Oreochromis niloticus: one gene and its partner. Each later gene encodes a partner of the first gene's protein in a complex. Links are inferred from orthologs where the notes say so. Each region holds a gene or a part of one and is shown in the gene's direction. Other genes may lie near its edges.

Region 1 (6,957 bases):
GAGCAGCTGCCTGCGTGCGGAACAGAGTAGAGGATAATGAGCAATACTTTAACAAGCATGCAAACAGGCGGGCCCAGTAGGATTATAATAAGCCTGTCTGTAATTAAAATGATAACCACTGTTGCATGTAATAAACTGTCAGGAGCTTATGGTAGCATAGTGGAGGAAGATGAATTTGCTGGCACTGCTTGGTTTCTCTTTAAAGACACCGATCCGCAGGCCCATATTCGGTCTTCAACAACAAAACTATTTTTTGCCACTTTTTGTTGCACGCCATAATTCATTCTGCCTTAGCCGTGCGTTTATGAGATTTAGGGGACTGCAGGGCAGCATATAGCAGCGTATTCGTCATCTGTCTCCTTACCAGATCCTGCACAGACATCGCCATCTATTGGACAGTCGAAGTTATGGCATGGTTTCTCTCCTTTATTGGTAAAAACGAAATGTAAAAGTGAAACGTGAAAAATAAAAAGGGGATAACTGGTGGTATAAAAGCAAAGTCACATAAAGGCTGTAATGAACCAATAGACTGTCACTAAGTAAACATTCATAGAAATACACTTATGAAAATAGAAACATTCAGCTTTTGGGAAACTTGGTTAGCTGCTCTGCTTTCTTAGTACTTTTCCCGCTGGAACCACATTATAAATCTGACATGTTGTTCAAGTATTGTTATTAATTCAATAACAACTTTTTTTTTTTTTTTTGCATTTAGCATCTGCGGTTCCTTGCCGTCTCTGGTTGATCCCTTTAATTGTCACGTGGACACGTAAGCCACTTTGGCATATGACATAACTAACTACACAACTAAATGTGTTTATTGTATATATGTCTTTTTCATTAAGCTGCCACAATCATCTGGATGACATTTAAGTTTGCTATGGTGTGAACTGTGACTAGAGCCCCAACGATTTATCATCAGACTGATATTTTCAGTCGATATTATCTATTATCATCTAGCATTTATAATGACTTTATAATGAAATATTAAAAAGTGAAGAAGAGACGGGAGAAACACTCTTCAACCATGTTATGGATGTTGGTGTTTTACACTTTATGTCCAGCAGAGGGCACTCTGCAACTTCTCTGTTGACAACTCACCTTTGGATCGTTACAAATACAACCAGCTGATCAGAACAGAGTGGGGCCTAGATTAAAGAAGTAAAGAAATCCCTAGACATAACAAATATTTGGGCTATTTATGTATGTGCCAGAAAGAAAAACAAATATGGACTGATATATCAGGATATTGGATTTTTTTTAATTCTCAAATAGTGATGTCTTAAAAATGTTATATGAGCCAGGCTCTAACTGTAACCCATGACTTGCTTAGTGGATGCAAACAAACAAAAATACTACAATAAGATATGAAGCAATACTTATACAATACTGACAACAATATTATAATACAATATTGTACTAACAATACAATACTGTTCCTGCAGTTGGTGTCTTCAGGAACATACTTTCATATGATGACACACACATGCAAAGATTTGTACGGTTAAAAAAACCAAAACAAACATGGCCATTTTACCCTTCTTAGTGCCCCTCAGATACAGTGCTGTTTGTGTCCGACAACCAGTAGTATATAGCTGTCATGATTAAATACTTCTGTACTTTTGGTGAGCTTCAAGTGATAATATATCATATTTATCATATTATTACTTGTTTTCAGTACTGCAAACCCTTAGCCTTCTCTCAATGAGCTTCATGATGCAGTCACCTGAATTGGATTTCACTTCACAGGTGTGCCTTGTCAGGGTTCATTTGTGGGATTTCTTGCCTTCTTAATGGGGTTGGGACCATCAGTTGTGTTGTGTTGGTTCATAGCCCTATTTGACAACTGTTAAAATTCATATTATGGCAACAACCAATCAAAAACATATAATATAATCCTTTTAATATAATGTTTTACTTTGTAATTATGTAACAAAATTACACGAATTTTTTTTTACATGTAATCAAATTACTTTAAATCATCATTTTGGGTATAAATATTATCTTGAGTGCAGTACTTCTGGGTTGTATACTGAGTTCTCTGTGTGCTAAGAAGCTCAATCAAATACCTGTTATGTGTACTGTAGTGAACCAGATCCCTACGTACTGAGACTCAGACTGCATACAAAGTACAACATTCACACTTGCAAAAATACACTAAGTGTCACTGACAGGACTTTTGGTACTCACTGTTAATTCCTACCAGAATTCTCAAGGGAGTCATGGTAACTGTTCACCATGCCTTTCTTTTTTTGAAATAATCACTGACTGAACAAAACCTGTATTTTTCAGTCTGTACTTAAGAAAAATAATAATTAAAAAAGGCAGTGAAAGATTTTTAAGATCTTTGAGGTTCATTGTTCCATGCTTTAAACATGAGCCTTGACACTCCTTAGAACCATAATCTGTGTGGTCATGCATTAGTGTCAGTGAGGAGTTTTTCTCCTCCTGACTAGTTCATTGATATTCCCTGCATGTCTGTAAGGATTTTTCATGCTTCAGGTCTTGACATACAGTAGGAGTGGTTCTTTACAAAGTTCACGGAGTTTTGTAGACAGACTACACAGCAAGGTCAAACTGTCTTTTTTTCTCTCTTGCTGGATACGTTTGCATATTAAATGTACCATATTTTAACAAGTATTTCAAAGACTTTTTACTCCATAAAATTAATAATTACAATTGCTGTGAAATCTGGTTCCCATGAATATTGTGCACATCTTTCTGTTTCTAGACAGTTGAGTGTCCTTTCTTCTTGTAACCTACCATATTTACCTTTGAAACTTTTCAATATTTTTAACAGTTAACAATAAGTGCAACAAATACAGAAGGGTGGGATGATGGAAAAATATATATCCACCTCATAAACAAGAGCCTAAAACCACAACTATGAACTGGATTTGCCATGTTGCAGAACTGAATAGTATAGGGGAAAGAATGGTGCATTATATACTTACTCCAACACAATCGAGCCATATTTACTGATCTTCAGGCTATGACTCATTTCAACGTGATTTTCCAGCATAAATTATGGACCAGGAGTCATATTTCAGCAGAGTTTGCTGATTCATTCGCCACATTGAGCTTTCTGCTTCCAAACAGTGCTGTGCACTATCTACATTAAAATGCTCCTTCACTTGTACACTGTGCCTTAAGTATAAACCTACAAAACCTGATTTTGTCACCAGGCAACAGAAATCTGCGCATACAATAAGCCTGTCTAATTTGCCCTTGCTGAAGCGGCATTTAATGTAATTTGGATAGTTTGGACTGGAGTGCAGCTTTTGTTTATATACTTTTTATGAAGTTAACAAGGCATTGGAAATATATTTGAGACGATTATGAGAATGGATTCTTATGAAACATAGTTCACTGTATTAATGTATTTCATGCTGTATGAACTATGTAACTCCCTTTATATAATCCTGATGGTATTTTGTCAGTTCTTAAAATCTTTTTATGTTGTATTTAGACAGATAAAAATAGGGCCCCAATAAGGGAGCAGCCAAAAATCCTTTTTTCATATTGGCAGAAAACTGCTGACTTTATCCAGAGTTTCCATAGTATTTGATTGGGCACATCATAATTTATCTATCTCATATATGTCTAACGCACATTTTCTCTCCTTTCACTTCCTGACCCTGATTTAGCCTATACGATAGATTTTCCGGCCAAAACAAGTTTACAACGTGAACTTCACCCAGATTAACAATTTCGGAGTTTATTGAGAGCATTTAAATGCAACATGTTACGTCGTTGACGATTTTGACGAATCGCACAGGAGCCGGGACGCCTCCCACCCTCAGTGTTGAGCGGAGCCGCTAGAGTGGAGAAACACATAGCGGAGTCCGGTCCATCTCTACCGCAGCTAGCTAACCCCGCAGCAAGGCCATTGCGGGAAGATGGCGACGGAAAAAGCGAAGCATGAAGGAAGAGTGAAAATTGGACATTACATTCTTGGAGACACTCTCGGAGTGGGGACGTTTGGGAAGGTTAAAGGTATGTGTAACTGTCTCAGGCGTTTATGCATCCTGCCAGCTGCGAGACGGTGGGAGAGGGAGCTTTTAGCTTAGCTGCTAAGCTAGCATACTAGGAAAGCTAACTTGTCGCAGTGCTGGGGAGGCAACACACTTGTTGTCGCGCTATTATCAGAACTTTTTTTGTGTGTGACAAAACGCAGGTTTTAGAGCGTGTCGTTGTCGTTTCTAAGATAAACAAGACACTGGAAGTTTTATGAAATTGGCCTGTAGCTGGTCACGTAGTTTGCCATTTAGCGTCGGTTGCGTTGCGTGCTAGCGAGCGAAGCGCTTGTTGAGACATACACCGGGAAGTCAGCCCTCTTCATTGATGTTGCCGCTAGCAAGAGTACATTTTAATCGGTAAAGTACGGTTTCCTCTCTCTTGCCTTTAAACCCAACTCTGCACTACATTCATTCACAACTTCTTTTCCCATGAGTCGTATTTGTCGCCTGTTTCAAGCATTCAGTGTTAATTCTGAAGTTTAGATGGAGAGAGTTGGACAAACTCTGCTGAATCTACGCCCACTTTGTCAGTGCAGAGGGCTGAACGCTTAGAAGCTTAAGTCAATATACAACTATCAACACGCAATAGACTAAAAAAACCTGTTTTTTTTCCTGAAAAGTAATCGTGTCTGCGCGTTGCTTGTTTTGTTTACCTTACAGGCTGTTCTGTTCAGTAGAAACACTGAAACCACAATATATATCGAAATGGAGTGGAACCACCACAAGCTGTGTGATCGGTTAATTCCCAATGAGTCATCTCCCAGCTCTCAGCTATTTGTTGATGTTGAGGGAAAAGAGCTGGAGTTGGTGCTGTGTGATTATGGTCTTGATTACTACCGACACAGCTGGTAAATCAAAACCAGCTGTTTGCTAACTCCCATGGGCAAATGCGCTGTCTTCCCACCGTCCATTCAGATGTTATCTTTTTGTTTCTGGTGCGGCTTCTTACCGCTTTCAGTTATGAGGACTCTGTATTTGACCTATTTGCTCATGTATTGACTGTGTATCCCCACTCACCTTTACAGATCATTTAGCATGTGCTAGGATTTCTTTCTCTTTTTTTTTTTTTGTGGGTGACTTAATGTATTTACATTAGGTCACCCACATTAAGTCACTTTCAGCTAGAGACTTTATAAAGTAGAGATGTGGCGTTCAAAGACTCTTGAATTTAAACAGCAGATGAAGTAAGGCTTTGGTTAGCTTTGACTGATGTTTCGTAAGTATGTGCCCAATAGGTGCTGGAAGGTGTTTCAACATTGTGCATGGCAAGATTTGCTTCAAGGACTTTCGTTTCAGCATTAGATTTATCACACTCAGTAGGCAGCCAGTTTCAGCAAAAAACAAAAACAAGAGAGCTGTTTTACAGTCTTTCCATAATACCAAATGACAAAGCTATGCTGTGATATGCCTGAGTGATTGAATATGGTTGACTGAATACAAAATACTTTTTTTTTTCCATCCTTCCATTTTTTTTTTCCTTTAATTTGAATGCTTTTATTTTTTATATTGTTAAAATTGTGATAGGAAGTGGTGATTTAGATCTGCCATTCCTCACACTGACTTCACGATATTGGTCCTATTGCTGCTGTCCTTCATCCACCATGCTGCCTTCTGTTTCCAAAATAGGTTTCACCTCTAAGATTCGTAGCATGTCCGGTAACCTTTATCCTAATAGTGTAAACAACAAATTACACATTTCCTTAAGTTGCGTGAAGATGACTTGTTTTGCATAATACGTCATCCTTCCCTATTTTATATGGCCTTGGTTGTAATAGAATTGCTCCATCCACTCTTTTTTTCCTTCAGTGGGCCAACATGAGCTGACCAAGCATCAAGTGGCAGTGAAGATCTTGAACAGACAGAAGATCCGCAGTTTGGACGTGGTGGGAAAGATTCGCCGGGAGATCCAGAACCTCAAGCTTTTCAGGCACCCTCACATAATTAAACTGTAAGTCCTAGATTACACTCTGCTCACTGCTCCATAATCCCCTTGCCACTACATTAATGCCACCCACTGAGCTATTTTCAGGCTTTTATAGTGTTGTTTTAGAATACATCCATCTAGGACAGTATCTGTCTGACTCAGTCCACTCTCTCTTCTGACCTCTCCCTGTTGTGCAGTATTGACTGTTTAGTTATTCCCTCAGTTGGTCTTTCATTTTAATGTACAAAAGTGCACTGGCTTTGTCTTTATTGTGGCTAGCTGTGTAGCTTGCTCTGCTGGTATTACTGTCAACATCTGTCAGGCTAGAGCAGATAAGTGTGTCATTTCAAATGAGTAATTTTTTAACATCATAGTCTGAGCTGACTGTCCCATAATGTTCTGGTCCTCTAAGCTAAACTTGCTATCTGACAGTTGTCAGGGGATTTCCTGTTTGGTAAGGGAATGTTCACAGACTCAAGGCCACAGTTACAGGGTCATTAAACTGACCGGGGGTGTGTATAATTGCCTGAAATACCCGTTCCATGTTAAGCATGCACAAAAATGTAAGCTATGTCTGTGTGTGTCTACGCATGAGAGAGTGATTCCATCTTTGGCAGGGTACACAGACCACTGGGGCAAAGTACATAACATTGTCTGTCTAGCGGGGATAATAACAACTCGAGTAATATAACATAATACTGCTTCATTTTTATTGATGGGATGTTTTCTGCAGTTGCAACACATCAGGTTCACAGTTAGTGAACATCTCTAACATCTGCTGAGCTACAGACTGCATGGCAGACATTACTGCCTTTGTGTTTTATCCACCATGGTAGGGCACGCTTACAAAAGCGCTGAATGTTTTCTTAAAATATCTTCACACTGTCACGTTGTCAATGCATTTTTTTTGGTTGTCTGTATTTAAAACCTGTGAAATCTGAGCTGTAGAGGCTGCATACAATGTGGTTTCTGGGACTTGCTATCAATAATTTCTCCTGGTTTGATTCTACAGCT
Region 2 (7,106 bases), on another chromosome or scaffold:
TTCAGTAAGTTTAGCTGGTTCTTTAAATTTCAGTATTTTCTATGTTGTCTTTTGTTTTCCTTTTCTTTTTTTTCCTTTAAGTTATGTTTAATACATTCAGGTTTTTGTCTTTTTAGGGTCCCAACTGTTCTTGTAGGGAACAAAAAAGATCTCCATATGGAAAGGTAATCCAGATTTCGGAAAGTGTAAAAATATGTCTTAGTAGAATGGTAACTGTACCAATAGCACCTTTTGGGTTTTGTTTTTTTTTTTAGCAGTTCAAGTAAAAAAAAATCGAATATTTATTTATTTATTTTTGTTTGTTTTTGTTTTTTTGCTTGTTTTTTTTCCTTTCAGGGTTATCAAGCCAGAGGAGGGAAAAAAACTTGCTGATTCCTGGGGTGCTGCATTCATGGAGTCCTCTGCCAAGGAAAACGAGGTAGTGAGAAATACCTTATTGAATGCTAACTCTGAATGCTAGCTCTGAATGCTAGCCGAGTCCACATTAATTTCTGAGAACATTCACACTCTAATGGCAACATTCTTGCAATGCAGACTGCTGTGGAGGTTTTCAAGCGGATCATTTTGGAGATGGAGAAAGCTGATGGCAATGCTCCCCCAGAGGAGAAGAAGTGCATTGTGATGTGAAAGTGTATCCAACACATCAGTAAGCTAACTTACTGAAGACAGGAGGCACAACTTCACCAGCTTGCCAATCGTGACCTCACCGACACCAAGACACGGCGGTGGAACTTTTCTGCTCCATTGTGATGTTAGATTAATTTACATAGCAAAGCAACTGCTCAGACAGTTGAGAAACTGAGACAGAGAAGTTTCTAAGATAAGGATTAAACTCTGTTTTAAACAAAGCAGCATCTTCGATGAACACCACCTTCCAATATTGAAATGTAAGCTACGTCTGGGCATAATCTTGATATTTTTTGTTTTTGTTTTGTTTTTTTGTTTTTTTTTTTGAGTTGAACAAAATCCTCGGAAAACAAAATTAGACATTCAGATTTGTTGCTTCATGTTGATTGCATCATTTTCCCCCTAATCTTTGAGAAATCACTGGCATATGCCTTATTACTCTCCAGTGATGGCTGGTTCATGGTCTTTCCGAGGACTGGTGTATTACTTCAGCTGGTCCTTTTTGGCATCGATGCAGAGTCGCAGTTCACATTGCTTTAAATGTGGTGTTAAAGTGTCATTGTTTTTTACAAATGGTGGGTTTCCTTGGATAGCCTATACTGACATTGTACATTAGATATCCCACTGTGGTTTCACAGTCCTCACTGTAATAACTTTGTCTCCTCATCTTCAGGTACCTTTCACTAATGAACTGTGGAGCTGTGTCTTTATGACAAGAGAAGTCTGTTATATATTGAAATATTTGACAACTCACATCTTAGGTTCTGATAAACAGACTGTCATCGTTTCTACATTTTAATTTCTGATTAACTGTAATAAAGATGTTATGGACAGCACTCAGAGAGATTTAGGATAGATTTGAGTAGATCTTTGCTATTTACCACTTATGGCCTTTTTTAAAAAAAAATAAATAAATAAAAATTTCATCTTAGGAATTGGTTTTTGGTATCATTGGTTATCTCTTGAGTGATGCAGTTTTGCTCTCTTAAATATCCTAAGTAGAGTTTATGCATATATGTGCATTGTCAATTATGAACATTGAGGGTTTTTTTTTTTTAAATACTTTTTAACATTGTGTAAGGTTAAGTGGCAAAATGCCTGAGTTAGCTTAGAATTTATTATCATTATTTTTTTGATCTGGTGGTTTTGATTTGATGGTTCCTGTGGGTTCGATAAAGCCAAGTCAGTATGGTATGCAGTCCGCTCAATTCAAACTGTGGACTTGCATGGTCGCATTCAGATACTTGAGATCCTTAATGATGATGTGTTTTTTTTGTTTTTCCACATAGAATCTGTAGCCTTATGAATACATGACAAACTGTGGAGTTTCTCCCCATAATCCCGATGTTGTACCTTTAGTGGTTAATTGTAACTTTTTATCAAGTGCTGTGCTGAATGAATAGCTGCAGATTGATGATGATGGTTGAACAGAAGCTGGTGATGCTGTGTCTTGTGCCTTACTGTTGTTCAAACTCCCTCATCTGCTTCCTTTCATGACTCAAGGTGCTCTTAAAAGTATTTTTCCCCCCTTCTGTCTGTTAACTTGACACCTTGGGTGCAGGTGTTGTACACCTGAACACCAATATTTCCCTATGGGTCAATGTTGATTCAGAAATCTTGCTGTAAACAGTTTTGTATATAAATAAATCTGTTACTCATCTGATGTGTCTGATGATTTTGCCATCTTTTTGGAACTTAGCTTGTGAAATTAGTTTTATTAAATCAACTTTTTGTACAAGGAAAAAAATTAATATTTTTTAAACATGTAAGTTTTTATTGCCCTTTACTACAAGATTTGAGTACTTTACCCATTCAAATTTGATGTTACTCAATAGAAAAACCATAACTGCTGACATCAGTCCATCTAGTATTATTTAACAGGCTGATGACGGTCAACAGGACAATTATATGCAGATACCAATATATTGGAGCATCCTTATATTGTGAATATTGATTATATTGGTGATATATGTGATGAAAAAATGTTGCTGTTAGCAGATGATTCAAATTGGGGTTTTTTTCGTTGTTCTATAGTGATTCCCAAAGCTACTTAAAATAAATGCATAAAAAGGGATTCTTTTTCAGTTTTGAGATCATGTTAAATATTCATATTGACATACTTTCTTTTAAAAAAAATCACAAATAATAATAAAGCTAAGTTGTGTGTAGTTCTTTGTTTATGTGATACAGATGATGCAGATACAGTGCACAAGTCTCACCAGATAAAAGTTCAGCTATTAATGAGGAAGAACAAGTAAATCACTGTGGAAAATACTAAGAGAAGGAAGTAAGGAAATTTATTTAGTTCAGTGTAGTAAAGTTTTTTTCTTTTTTAGAAAGTTAGAGGTGTGATTTGGGTTTTCATTGTCCTGTAAAAGAGGCATATTTACATTATTTGAAAATAAATGGTACTGGTAGTTAGTACTGGCATTATATTTGAGTCAAAGCAAAATTGTATTTTTCCAAAAACTGCAATTAAGTCACAATGTTTTTGCCTTATAAAAGAGATACTGGTGGTACTGTTTCTGATAATATTCATAATGGGAGATGCTTCTACTGCTCTGCAAAACAGTTATCAGATGTAAAATATTTTACAACTCTTGTGCATTGCACAATGCAATACTATCTGTATTATCTGTATTTCCTTTCAGCTGCTGTCAGACTCTACAATGAACAACAGCAGCAGACCACATGTGTACATAGACAAGCACACAGTGGGGACTGATAAATCACAATGTGCAGTAATTTTCAACCAGTCTGTGCAATGGCCAAGACTCCATCTCCACTCATATTAACATTCAACCGCTACACAATGAAACACACACACACACACACACACACACGTGTGTGTGTGTGTGTGTGTGAGTGAGAGAGAGAGAGAGAGAGAGAGAGAGAGAGAGAGAGAGATGCTTGTGACGTGTATAGTGTACTTTCTTCTTTTATTATATAGTATTATTGTTATATGTTAGAGGTTATGCTGCTTCTAATTATTCTGCTCTGCCCAGAAAATACTGGACATGAAACTGAAAAGACTCATGCCCAGTATTTTCTCAGCCAGTTTTTTCAATATTTACCTATTTCCCATCTTCATACTGCTCAATAGTGGCTGAGTCCCACATATTACTGTATATACCTGAATATACCTTATCGATACAATATACTGAATATACCCCCTTATTAAGAAGTTGTCTGAGCAAAAAAGCACTACAAAAGATTTTCTTAAGCGTTAACTTTTTTTTGTTCAACCACACTTTATTATACATAGATGTAGCATCTGAATGCAAGAGTTCCAAGACAACAGAGTAAATGTAAATAGTTGGGGGATTTTTCAGTTTTCCTTCAAAGTAATATTCCACAGAACTCCTAAACGCTCCCTTAATTACAGAATAATAAAACAAACCACAAATTCTTTACTCCTGAGCGCTACCTGCTTCAGAGCTAAAATGACATCCCTGGAGTGCGGCAATATTACGGCAATTACGGCAGAGACAGCACAACCATTCATGCTGATCGTTGTTAGTTAGTTAGCGGAAGACCTTCGAGGTTTGGAGAGCTGCACACGAAACCGGCTACAGGGAGGAGAACCAGCGAATGGAACATGGAGTGTGTAAGTTAGTAGCTTGTATATACAGTGTGGTTTTACGCCCGCTTTCTCACGTTTAAACCAAATGAACTTACCCGACTTTTTGAAGCACGCTAACGGTACAAGCTAGCTAGCGAGCAAATTCTTGGTGGAGTGGTTGTTGGGGCCAACCCGCTTATTATTGCGCTTAGTCAGTTGTCAGGAAAACGCATATAATTATCAGTCCCGGTACCTGTGTACAATTACCACTAAAATATAACAATACACGACATAATGACGCAGCTTAAGAGCCTTAGCGTAAATAGAAAGTCACCTCGACAGGCTCAGTAATGTCAACTGACTGACAGGCTAGGAAATACTCCGCTAACCTTTCTGTTATAGTATTTATTTTCCAAAGTTTCGTTACTTGTCAGTGTAACCGAGTCTTTTTTGACACCCAGAAATCACTAAATGATCTCACCAATTACAGCGGATCTTATTTGACTGCAAAGTTATACTGTTTGATGTTTAACCAGCTGCTCAAGTGCAGTCTATGGCTCGGTGTTAAAGTACAGTTACTCACGTCTCAGAGTCAAGTCATAAACAATGAAACCGTTCACATTTTAGTGGTTTTCATCACTCCTCTGGAAACGGCGGACCTGTCAGTGACACTTCCAGTGACACTTCCAGTGAATACATGTTTATCAGAGGCCTCCTTGGGCTGTACTTCTCACGGGCTAAACTTTTTTTCCGACATCAGCCACGATAAGGTTCTTTAAAAGAAACAATAAACTTCAGATCTGCCTTTGCCGTGCATGTCAAAAACATCCACTCCCACATTGTTATCTTACCAAATATATCAGGTTGCGAAATTTTACATAAACACAACCATGTTTCTAGAAATAACCATTTCTAGAAATATCAGGTTATTTCTAGAAATGCTTTGTATGGATGTATCCCTTTTGTGTCAAAAAAAATGTATATATTAAAATGTACAATATAAAGTGTTGTAGTCAGTGCAATATTGGCGTGATATAATAAATAGAACGCAACCAAAAAAAATATCACTTCATTTGGTGATATAAACGTTATCTTTCAGATTCCAGTAACTATTGATGATCTTGAGGGCAAGAAGGACCCAGTCATTGAAGGTAAGGGGCTTGCAATACAGTCTGTCATGCTGGGAAACAGTTATTTATAGAAAATGGTGACAGCTGAGTCTCATTTCTGTAGATCCAGAACACAATGTGTACACCAGGTTTATGAAGTCCCATCGTTGTTATGACCTTGTGCCCACCAGCTCCAAATTAGTTGTGTTTGATACATCACTTCAGGTAAAACAAAAGCCTTAAATTAAATACATATATTTTTCATGATCTAGTATAGCTTTAATCTGTTGTGCAATTCATCCTCAGGTGAAAAAGGCATTCTTTGCTCTTGTTTCTAACGGGGTGCGTGCTGCGCCTTTATGGGATAGCAAGAAGCAGTGTTTCGTTGGTAAGAGTAACTTCCATTTGGCTCTGTTTCACTAAAAAGTAAAAAAAAGTTGAATAATAATGGACTCCTGTTTCTGCTCTGCAGGTATGCTAACCATCACAGACTTCATTAACATTCTTCATCGCTATTACAAATCTCCATTGGTAAGATGTAGACACGGAATAGATGTAACCAATTAAATCTCAAACTTAAACTCCATCCAAGGTTGTTTTAGTTATGTATATTTTACCTTATTTTTGGTCAAACATGCACTTTCTCTTCCTTTCTGCATTACTTGATCCCTCCATTCACTTATGATAAATTTTCAGGTTCAGATATATGAGTTGGAAGAGCACAAAATTGAAACCTGGAGAGGTGAAAATCCTTTATTAATATGTAACATAATGTACTTGTAATATCTTAAAGGGAAAGTTCATATTTGTCTTTTCTTATTTCCAATAGAGGTGTACCTTCAAGACTCTTTCAAGCCCCTGGTTAGCATATCTCCTAATGCAAGGTAAGTAACAGAATGTGCTATGTTAAGTTTGTGAATGCTTATTTGCACTATAATATTAAACTCTGAAAAGTCCCTTTGGATGTTAGTTTGTTGACCAGAACCACTTTGCATAGATATACTATTGGGAAATTAGGAAAGGCTAGAGTATACAACCTCGATTCCCCCAAACCTTGGGATCCTGTGTTGAAATCTAAATAAAATCAGAATGCAATGTGTGTTTGCCAAACATGGCAAACCCACCCACAATAATTTTGAATTTGATGTCAACAACACGTCTCAAATGTTGGGACAGGGCCATATCAGGGCTATGTGTAGCGTCCTCTTTTTTTTTTTTTAAGTGTGTTTTTTCTTCTTTGTATTCATATTTTGCACAAATAATCAAATAAACACCACACTCACATACAAATCAAATAACTAAAAAGTAAAGTAAAAAAACAACCCCCCTCCACCCCCCAAAAAACCAACAACAACAAAAAATAGGGCAAGTGGTGATGAGCTGAGATTCACAGTAAAACACACGATTAGTGGTTTAAAGGGCTAAATAACAGCATTGTTGCATCATTGCCTCTCATTTTCACAACAGTTTGGAAACAGAGGAGACAAGCTGCTGGACTTTTAGAAGAGGAATGTTGTCTCATTCTTGTCTGATATTGGATTCTAGCTGTTCAGCAGTCGTGGATCTTCTTTGTTATATTTTTCATCTCTTGATGCTCCAGATGTTTTCAATGCTTTCTGCTTTAAGGTTCAGTGTGTTGTGTGTTCAGGGATTTTCTTCTGCATACCTTGGTTTGTATGCAGAAAGTGTTTGTTTGAGTTACTCTTACCTTCCTATCAGGTTGAGGCAGTCTGGCCATTCTCCTCTGACCTCGGGCATCAATGAGGCATTTTCACCCAGTACACTGTCACTCACTGGATATTTTCAGC

What was found.
Region 2: the proteins of prkaa1 (region 1) and prkag1 are in contact, whole or in part, in a crystal structure (PDB 6C9H), measured with the Homo sapiens proteins. The link is inferred for Oreochromis niloticus from reciprocal best matches to the Homo sapiens genes PRKAA1 and PRKAG1. Residues at the interface, in NP_006242.5 of Homo sapiens: Ser295, Ser296, Thr297, Met298, Ile299, Asp301, Glu302, Lys305, Arg342, Glu347, Ala348, Phe351, Tyr352, Leu353, Arg369, His371, Pro372, Glu373, Pro376, Phe377, Asn449, Val451, Thr452, Thr536, Pro537, Arg538, Gly540, Ser541, His542, Thr543; in NP_002724.1 of Homo sapiens: His36, Asp40, Leu41, Ile42, Pro43, Thr44, Ser45, Val50, Leu64, Val65, Gly68, Val69, Arg70, Trp75, Ser77, Lys78, Lys79, Gln80, Phe82, Pro158, Glu159, Ser160, Gly161, Asn162, Lys170, Arg171, Lys174, Phe175, Leu178, Phe179.

The regions. Positions count from the first base shown.
Region 1 is NC_031972.2:15,614,732-15,621,688, forward strand, and holds the start of prkaa1 (5'-AMP-activated protein kinase catalytic subunit alpha-1), read left to right. Parts: upstream 1-3,884; 5' UTR 3,885-3,899; coding exon 3,900-3,996; intron 3,997-5,825; coding exon 5,826-5,967; intron 5,968-6,957. UniProt on the Homo sapiens protein: Catalytic subunit of AMP-activated protein kinase (AMPK), an energy sensor protein kinase that plays a key role in regulating cellular energy metabolism.
Region 2 is NC_031970.2:23,221,245-23,228,350, forward strand, and holds the start of prkag1 (5'-AMP-activated protein kinase subunit gamma-1), read left to right. Parts: upstream 1-4,070; 5' UTR 4,071-4,225; coding exon 4,226-4,234; intron 4,235-5,288; coding exon 5,289-5,340; intron 5,341-5,422; coding exon 5,423-5,523; intron 5,524-5,604; coding exon 5,605-5,686; intron 5,687-5,770; coding exon 5,771-5,829; intron 5,830-5,994; coding exon 5,995-6,040; intron 6,041-6,127; coding exon 6,128-6,182; intron 6,183-7,106. Other genes in the region: rhebl1 (ras homolog, mTORC1 binding like 1), read left to right, coding at 1-4, 117-164, 337-418, 535-627. UniProt on the Homo sapiens protein: AMP/ATP-binding subunit of AMP-activated protein kinase (AMPK), an energy sensor protein kinase that plays a key role in regulating cellular energy metabolism.